Linked DNA regions of Neurospora crassa OR74A. The protein of the gene in region 1 purifies or fractionates together with the protein of each later gene. This does not show direct contact. Links are inferred from orthologs where the notes say so. Each region holds a gene or a part of one and is shown on either strand. Other genes may lie near its edges.

Evidence for each region.
Region 2: the proteins of NCU00396 (region 1) and NCU00348 purify together in Saccharomyces cerevisiae (affinity purification with mass spectrometry; 5 studies listed by BioGRID). This does not show direct contact. The link is inferred for Neurospora crassa OR74A from reciprocal best matches to the Saccharomyces cerevisiae genes RSE1 and RDS3.

What each region holds. Positions count from the first base shown.
Region 1 is NC_026503.1:3,707,271-3,711,523, forward strand, and holds the start of NCU00396 (pre-mRNA-splicing factor rse-1), read left to right. Parts: upstream 1-1,227; 5' UTR 1,228-1,509; coding exon 1,510-1,753; intron 1,754-1,816; exon of another isoform or gene 1,817-1,943; coding exon 1,944-4,020; intron 4,021-4,205; coding exon 4,206-4,253. Other genes in the region: NCU00395 (mRNA processing protein), read right to left, coding at 1-872. UniProt on the Saccharomyces cerevisiae protein: Involved in G2/M transition. Required for pre-mRNA splicing and endoplasmic reticulum (ER) to Golgi secretion pathway. U2 snRNPs associated protein required for the pre-spliceosome assembly.
Region 2 is NC_026503.1:3,536,784-3,540,008, reverse strand, and holds NCU00348 (pre-mRNA splicing factor), read left to right. Parts: upstream 1-1,479; 5' UTR 1,480-1,735; coding exon 1,736-1,752; intron 1,753-1,861; coding exon 1,862-2,135; intron 2,136-2,249; coding exon 2,250-2,285; 3' UTR 2,286-2,593; downstream 2,594-3,225. Other genes in the region: NCU00349 (hypothetical protein), read right to left, coding at 1-145, 208-276, 340-987; pex26 (peroxin-26 Pex26-Penicillium chrysogenum), read right to left, coding at 2,830-3,225. UniProt on the Saccharomyces cerevisiae protein: Required for pre-mRNA splicing. Involved in regulation of drug sensitivity and may play a role in multidrug resistance.

The DNA.
Region 1 (4,253 bases):
AAGCCCTCGACCGTGAGGCGATTCCGGATGTGGTACGGGCTCAACTCGTGAAGAACGCTGCCGATCGTGAGAGGATAGGTCAACAACCTAGTCGCCTGTCTCATGCACCGGTCATCGTTGACAGCTTCGAACTGACGGGTATACATGAACGTGTCCCAGTTGGTCATGTTGACCATGGCATCATCCATTTGCGGACCGGCGTAGTTGAACTCGTAGAAGTGGCGGCCTGAATGGAGGTCATGGTCATCTTCATTGATCTGCCGCAGAGTGTCGCATATCTCGAGATGTTTCTCATAGTCGTCCATCCAATGCTGCTCGCTGCAATATACCGGGATGCCACAGTCAGGGCACTCGAAATCGACGTGCTTCGGCGGCTGGGAGCCAGACTCGGTATCGACTTGGCGGTTGGTCTCGGAGAACTGCCCTGGGCGGTGGCTATGGTGGGGGCAGCTGGCGTGCTGTCTTATGAAGGCCGCGCGCTGGCGGATCTTGGGGATGGGCGAGTTGGTGAAGGAGTGGAAGAGGTTGTCCTGCTCGAGAATCGGCTTCGAGGGGATACCACTACCGGCCAGATCCTCGTTGGTGGCAAACGATGTCGAGCTGCTGGCCTTGGTTCTGGACTGGGCAGCAACGGAAGGAAGCTTGCTTGTGATCGAAGCCTGGATCGGACGCGAAATGGTTCTGGTGATGCCGCCGACTTGCGTCGAAGACGAGGAAGAGCTCTGTGCCCCTCGGATGGAGCTGACGGAGCGTTGCTGGGCTGACTGCAAAAACGCAGCACTTTGCCTGCTCTGTCTAGCTGTGAAAGTCGAGCATTGCGAGCAAAGCTTGGACAAGGCCGGACGCACGGCGCGGTCTGCTGGGAGGGCCATTGGGAGTTCAAGAGGTCGGATGATGTTCGATCGGGAATCTGGATCGCCGGGACTCGATGCGACTTTCCAATTGACTTTTTGGCAGCAGCTCCCAGCAATCCGGGGTCCTCTCCCACCGACCCGACTCGCTACCTACCTCTACTGTGCCTAAGTGCCTAGGCGGGTCCCGTCCATCGAATGACCCACTTTGTTCTTGCTTCACCAGCCACAATTGTGCCTAGGTAAGCTCCGTCTGACGTTACGTATGCGGGTCAGAGAGCTACGAGCAAGCCACAGTCGCGAGGCGGGAAGATGAGTGGGCGGCGTCTACGACCTACCGTGGACCGAGTCCGACGTACCGCTGCAACCTGAGTGACTGGACTGCACCAATTGGCCAGAAATACCATCGACGGCAACCGACTCCATCTACCTCGCCAGAGTGCCAGAACACTGGACCGTGTTTCATTTTTTTTTGCCGTGTTACAATCATCTACTCGATATTCAACTCTAGATTTTCGACAATCTGGCTGACTTTCGCGCATTGGTCTTCTCAACATAACGACGGCAGCATTGACAGAGCACAACCGAGTCCTACCCACTTGCAAAAACAACCTCGAGAAAGCAGAGCCGCGCCGGCTGTCTGCGCCCAGTTGCAGCCATGGCGACTACGTCGAACATGTTCCTGTATTCCTTGACCATCCAGCCACCCACCGCTGTCACGCAGGCTCTGCTTGGTCAGTTCTCGGGAACCAAGGAACAGCAGATTCTTACGGCGTCTGGATCGCGTCTAACCCTCCTTCAGCCTGATCCCCGTCAGGGCAAGGTCAACACCCTGTTGTCTCATGACATCTTCGGCATCGTACGCGCCATCGCGTCGTTCCGTCTGGCCGGCAGCCACAAGGGTGAGTAACCTCCCCGCCACCTCCTGTGTTGGGCAATATAGTGATTCTGGATCCGTTCCCCAGGTGCTTCTGGGTAGAGGGGCCACACGTATGGTCACGCACCATGCACCCAGGCCTACGAGTCTTCTGGGGACTTGAGAGACTCATTCAAATCGGTAGCGGGATTGTGCTAAAACCCTGTGCCACCCAGACTACATTATCCTCGCCACTGATTCGGGCCGCATTACGATTATCGAGTATCTCCCCAAGACGAACAAGTTTCAGCGCATCCACCTCGAGACTTTCGGCAAATCGGGCGTCCGCCGAGTCATCCCCGGCCAGTACTTAGCCGCAGATCCAAAGGGAAGAGCATGCCTCATTTCGGCACTCGAAAAGAACAAGCTGGTCTATGTTCTCAACCGAAACTCACAGGCCGAGCTTACCATCTCGTCACCACTGGAAGCCCACAAGCCAGGCGTGTTGGTGCTGTCTCTTGTTGCCCTTGACGTTGGTTACGCAAACCCCGTTTTCGCTGCGTTGGAACTGGACTACACGGACGCGGACCAAGATCCTACGGGCCAAGCACGAGAAGAAGTCGAGACACAGCTGGTATATTACGAGCTTGATCTGGGCCTGAACCACGTTGTACGCAAGTGGTCAGATACTGTCGATCGCACTTCTTCACTTCTCTTCCAAGTACCCGGCGGCAATGACGGTCCCAGCGGTGTCTTGGTGTGCGGCGAGGAAAATGTCACCTATCGGCACTCGAATCAAGAGGCTTTCCGCGTCCCCATCCCTAGACGCAGCGGTGCCACCGAAGATCCTCAGAGGAAGCGGGTTATCGTCTCTGGCGTTATGCACAAGCTCAAGGGAAGCGCGGGCGCCTTTTTCTTCCTTCTTCAGACGGACGATGGAGATCTCTTCAAAGTCACCATTGACATGATCGAAGATAGTGACGGCAACCCCACCGGAGAGGTCAAGCGCCTCAAGATCAAGTACTTCGACACGATACCAGTAGCCACTAGTCTTTGCATCCTGAAGAGCGGCTTCCTGTTCGCCGCTAGCGAGTTTGGAAACCATCACTTTTACCAATTTGAAAAGCTCGGAGACGATGACGAGGAGCTCGAGTTCAGCAGCGACGACTTCCCGACAGACCCTACCGCCTCATATAACCCGGTGTACTTCCACCCCAGGCCACTTGAAAATCTGGTCCTGGTTGAGAGCATTGATTCGATGAACCCTCAGGTCGACTGCAAGGTTGCGAATCTGACGGGAGAGGACGCGCCCCAGATCTACTCTGTCTGTGGAAATGGGGCGCGGAGTACTTTCCGCATGTTGAAGCACGGACTCGAAGTGTCTGAAATTGTCGCTTCGGAGCTTCCGGGTACACCTTCTGCTGTATGGACGACTAAGTTGACCAAGTACGATCAGTACGATGCTTATATTGTGCTGTCATTCACAAATGGAACATTGGTTCTCAGCATTGGTGAGACGGTAGAAGAGGTCAGCGATAGTGGTTTCTTGACTACGGCGCCCACCCTAGCTGTGCAGCAAATGGGTGAGGATGGCTTGATACAAGTTCACCCCAAGGGCATTCGCCACATCGTCCAAGGTCGTGTCAATGAATGGCCTGCACCTCAGCATCGCTCGATTGTTGCTGCCACGGCAAATGAGAATCAGGTTGTCATCGCCTTGAGCTCTGGCGAAATCGTCTACTTCGAAATGGACTCGGATGGTTCGCTCGCCGAGTATGACGAAAAGAAGGAGATGTCGGGTACCGTCACATCGCTGAGCGTCGGTCAAGTACCGGAGGGCCTGAAGCGAAGCTCTTTCCTAGCTGTAGGATGCGATGATTGCACAGTTCGCATTCTTAGCTTGGACCCTGATTCAACACTCGAGATGAAGTCCATCCAAGCTTTAACAGCCGCGCCCTCGGCTTTATCAATCATGTCGATGGAGGACTCGTTTGGTGGATCCACGCTCTATCTCCACATCGGATTGCATTCGGGCGTTTACCTCCGGACTGTGCTGGATGAAGTGACGGGCGAACTGACAGACACTCGTCAAAAATTCTTGGGTCCCAAGCCTACCAGACTTTTCCAAGTATCAGTTCAGGATCAGCCATGTGTTCTTGCGCTGAGCTCGAGGCCATGGTTAGGCTACACCGACCCACTTACTAAGGGCTTCATGATGACGCCCCTAAGTTACACCGAGCTTGAGTATGGTTGGAACTTCAGTAGCGAACAGTGCTTGGAAGGCATGGTTGGTATTCATGCCAACTACCTAAGGTCAGTTTATTCCAAATTGTTTGGCGTCCAGTTATGTGATGAGGAAAGTGAACTCTATGCCCTTGGGTAATGAGGCGATTGGAGCAATCATATGTGATTGTACCAATTGTTCCTTACAAATACAACCCGATACACCCATCCATTTTGCACGTCCTTATCTTCACAGACACTGACATTGAGTGCAGAATCTTTTCAATCGAAAAACTGGGCGACAACATGATTCAGAAATCCAT
Region 2 (3,225 bases), about 170 kb from region 1:
GCTGGACCTTGACTTCATTCTTTGGCGGCCGTCCATGTTTGATTTCGAACTGGCGCACCTCCCTGGTGATGGTCTCCTCGGCTTCGCGGACTTGTTCATCGAGGATACGCTCTTGTTCTTTGGTGAGCTCCCAGGGTTTGTAGTACTAGTAGTATCATTAGCCCTCGATTCAAGTCGTGTTCGTTGTCCCAGGGGTCAAGTTCTTACAACTACCGGCTCGCTGACAGTTCGCAGACTATGAGCCAAGATAAGCATCTTTTCATGCCGCCGGTGCATCTAAAAGTTAAAGGGGTCTGTTAGTAAGCATGTTCAACAGTCCGTTGTCAAAGGACAACCTACCATCCGCTCTTCGAAGTCCACCTGCTTGGCATCCCGGAAGCGTCTGCGTTCAGCGAGCAGGTCGGTTCTGCGCCTATCATCCTCGACTCTCTGCTGCTGCACTCGTTCCTGCTGGCGGCGTTCAATCTCCTTTCTCCTCTTTTGCTGCGAGTTGTTGGGTGTAGTCTGACTTAGAGTGTTGAGGAGACCACCAAACAAGCGCCTGCCGCGTTTCTTCTCCTCCAGGCTAACATTCTTCCGCGTTTGTTCGGGGCTAAGTGGTGCCTTTCGAGACGGCGGTGCGGCCTGCTCCCTTTGCTCGTCGGACTCTCTCCTACTAGTAGTGACTGGGCTTTGAACTGTGGTTTCTTGGGCGCGTGCCACAGCTTCGTTCTCCATTGGATGATCATTGTCCTTGGTAGTTGACGTGGCGTGGATCTCCCTCGCTGTGGCGACCGGCTCCCGCATCGAGTCCTTTACAGGTTCCTCTGTCCTGCCGGTTTTTGGCGTCGCTTCCCCTTCAACAATCTCACTGATCCTGCCCTGGACGTTCCCGTCCTCCAGTTTGGTGCGCTTAGCAGCCACGCCATCCTCTGGCGATGGTGAGGAAGTGGCCTTTCGTTTCTGGGTAGACAAGTCCTCTGTTTCCATCATCGGTTCCGAAGACATGAGTAGGAAATCGACAGCAGCTTGGCGTTGAAGCTGAAGCAAAGGTGTTGGAGTTGTAAGGTCTTGTAGCTCGGAAGTGATTGGCAGAAAACGTGATCGGCGTAACAAAAAGGTTTTGTTGTGCGTTGCAGTTAAAGGTCGAATGTACTTCTCCCATATATGTCGAATGGCCGGTTTGATCTCCCAACACGCCCGGTTCGTTGTTGGAAACTGGTGTTGGTGGATTGATGGAAGCCAAATTGTTAGTGACCGGCTGTGTCCAGAACTTCTCCAGTGGGAGAATCACAGTGAGCAGCTTCCCCGAAAGTGGATTATTCAGGGTAGTCCGCTGTTCGAGGCCGCTCGAATCCCCCTGTTCGGGGAAGCAGCTGGGAAGCTAACCCCACTTTCCTGCACCAGTCGCATGTCTTGGCATTTGAAGATCCGCTCTTCCACGAGGCTGACAGAAGAAAACGCGGAAAACGCTAGAAGAGGACGCCACATCGCTACCCACTTGCCGCCGAGGCTGACGAAATTCGATTCCACATCGGCATCGCCAGTGATCGCATCTTTCGCCTTGCATCACGTTCCCTATCGTCCTCGGCTACAACCACAAGTGCCATTTCGAGACCAGATTCACCGTACAGCGCATTCTCTGAGCGATCAATTTATACTACGCGACAGCACCACGCGTGCCCATCTCACCCGAATTTCAATCCTTCTGCCTACCATCACCGTCGCGAAAACACATCATAATCTCTAGCCCACCATGTCTCGCCATCATCCGTACGTCTCTTTTATGCTCGCTTCCCTCCTTGCCCAACCCAGCCCTGCTTGACCCTTTCTTGATAAACCTTCCCGACTATGTACATACTAACATTCCCGTTCCCCACAGTGATCTAGTAATGTGCCGCAAACAATCCGGCATCGCCATCGGCCGTCTCTGCGACAAGTGCGATGGCAAGTGCCCCGTGTGCGACTCGTACGTGCGGCCGACGACACTGGTGCGCATCTGCGACGAGTGCTCGTTCGGCAACTACCAGAACAAGTGCGTGGTGTGCGGCGGCGAGGGCATCTCGGACGCGTTCTACTGCTTCGAGTGCACCAGACTCGAAAAGGACAGGGATGGGTGTCCCAAAATTATAAACCTGGGTAGTTCCAGGACGGATGTAAGTTCTCTTCTTCTTTTTCCCCCCCCCTTCCCGCTTGCCGTGGGATAAAGTGCTTGGAGATGGCGTGCTCGTAAAGATTAGAGGCTAACGAAGTACGTTTTCACACAATAGCTATTTTACCAAAAGAAAACAAATCGAACATTTTAACAATAGAGATGCCCGGGCATGGGCTTGTGTGGGAAGATTGTTTGGGGTGGTTAGTTTCCTGATATGAGATGGGCTCCTGGCTGTGACGGATGGAAACCATGTTGGAAGGGGCATATAACTTCGAGAAAAGAAATTTGTCACAAGCTCAAGCTGCATTTGACTTGGCATCAAGGGCGTTAGGGAGTTCTGTTCACATACATAGCATAAGAGGGCAGGAGTTGAGAAAGACAAAGCTGAAAAGCAAGCACGTACTCTTAATTAGGCGTTGACTAACATGGCCTTGGTTACTCTTTAGAGATTTTGCCATCACATGTCAGGTTGCAGTGATTGTGTCATCTCTTTTGACTATGAACTGAAAACGAAACAAGCTATTTTCCGTGATGCATGACCCATTAACGATAGACTCGAAACAAAACTGTCGCATGCCAAAACCTGCTGCGACAACAGCCGCAATGCTAATTATCATCAGAGCAGGAATATTCCCTCCCTTACTCCCAATGTCCAAAATAATACTGGTACCCAAGCAGCAAAAAAGGGGCTCGGATCAAATGTAACTAACTTTCATCCCCATTCCAGCCGTAGCCTTCACTTTCCCCCACCCTTGCTGCACCACTCTTGTGATTCTCTCCCTCACGCTCTTTTTGCTGAACATCAGCAGGAACCCGATAATGAACGCCAGCGTCCGGTACAGCAGGAACGGGTTCCCATGGAATGCCGTCATAACCTGATCCAACACCGACCGGATATTGTTCAGTATCAAAGCCGCCTTCGTGCCCATTCCAGGGCCGGTCACGGCACTCGAAGAAGAACCCGTCGTCTTGGTCGCGGTCGGTGACGACGCTCCTTTCCTTGACGGCCTAGCCGGTTTCGAAGACGCCGACGACGACGAGGCCCCCCCGTTCTTCAACGCGGAAGCCTTCTTCTTCAGATTCGGTTTCTT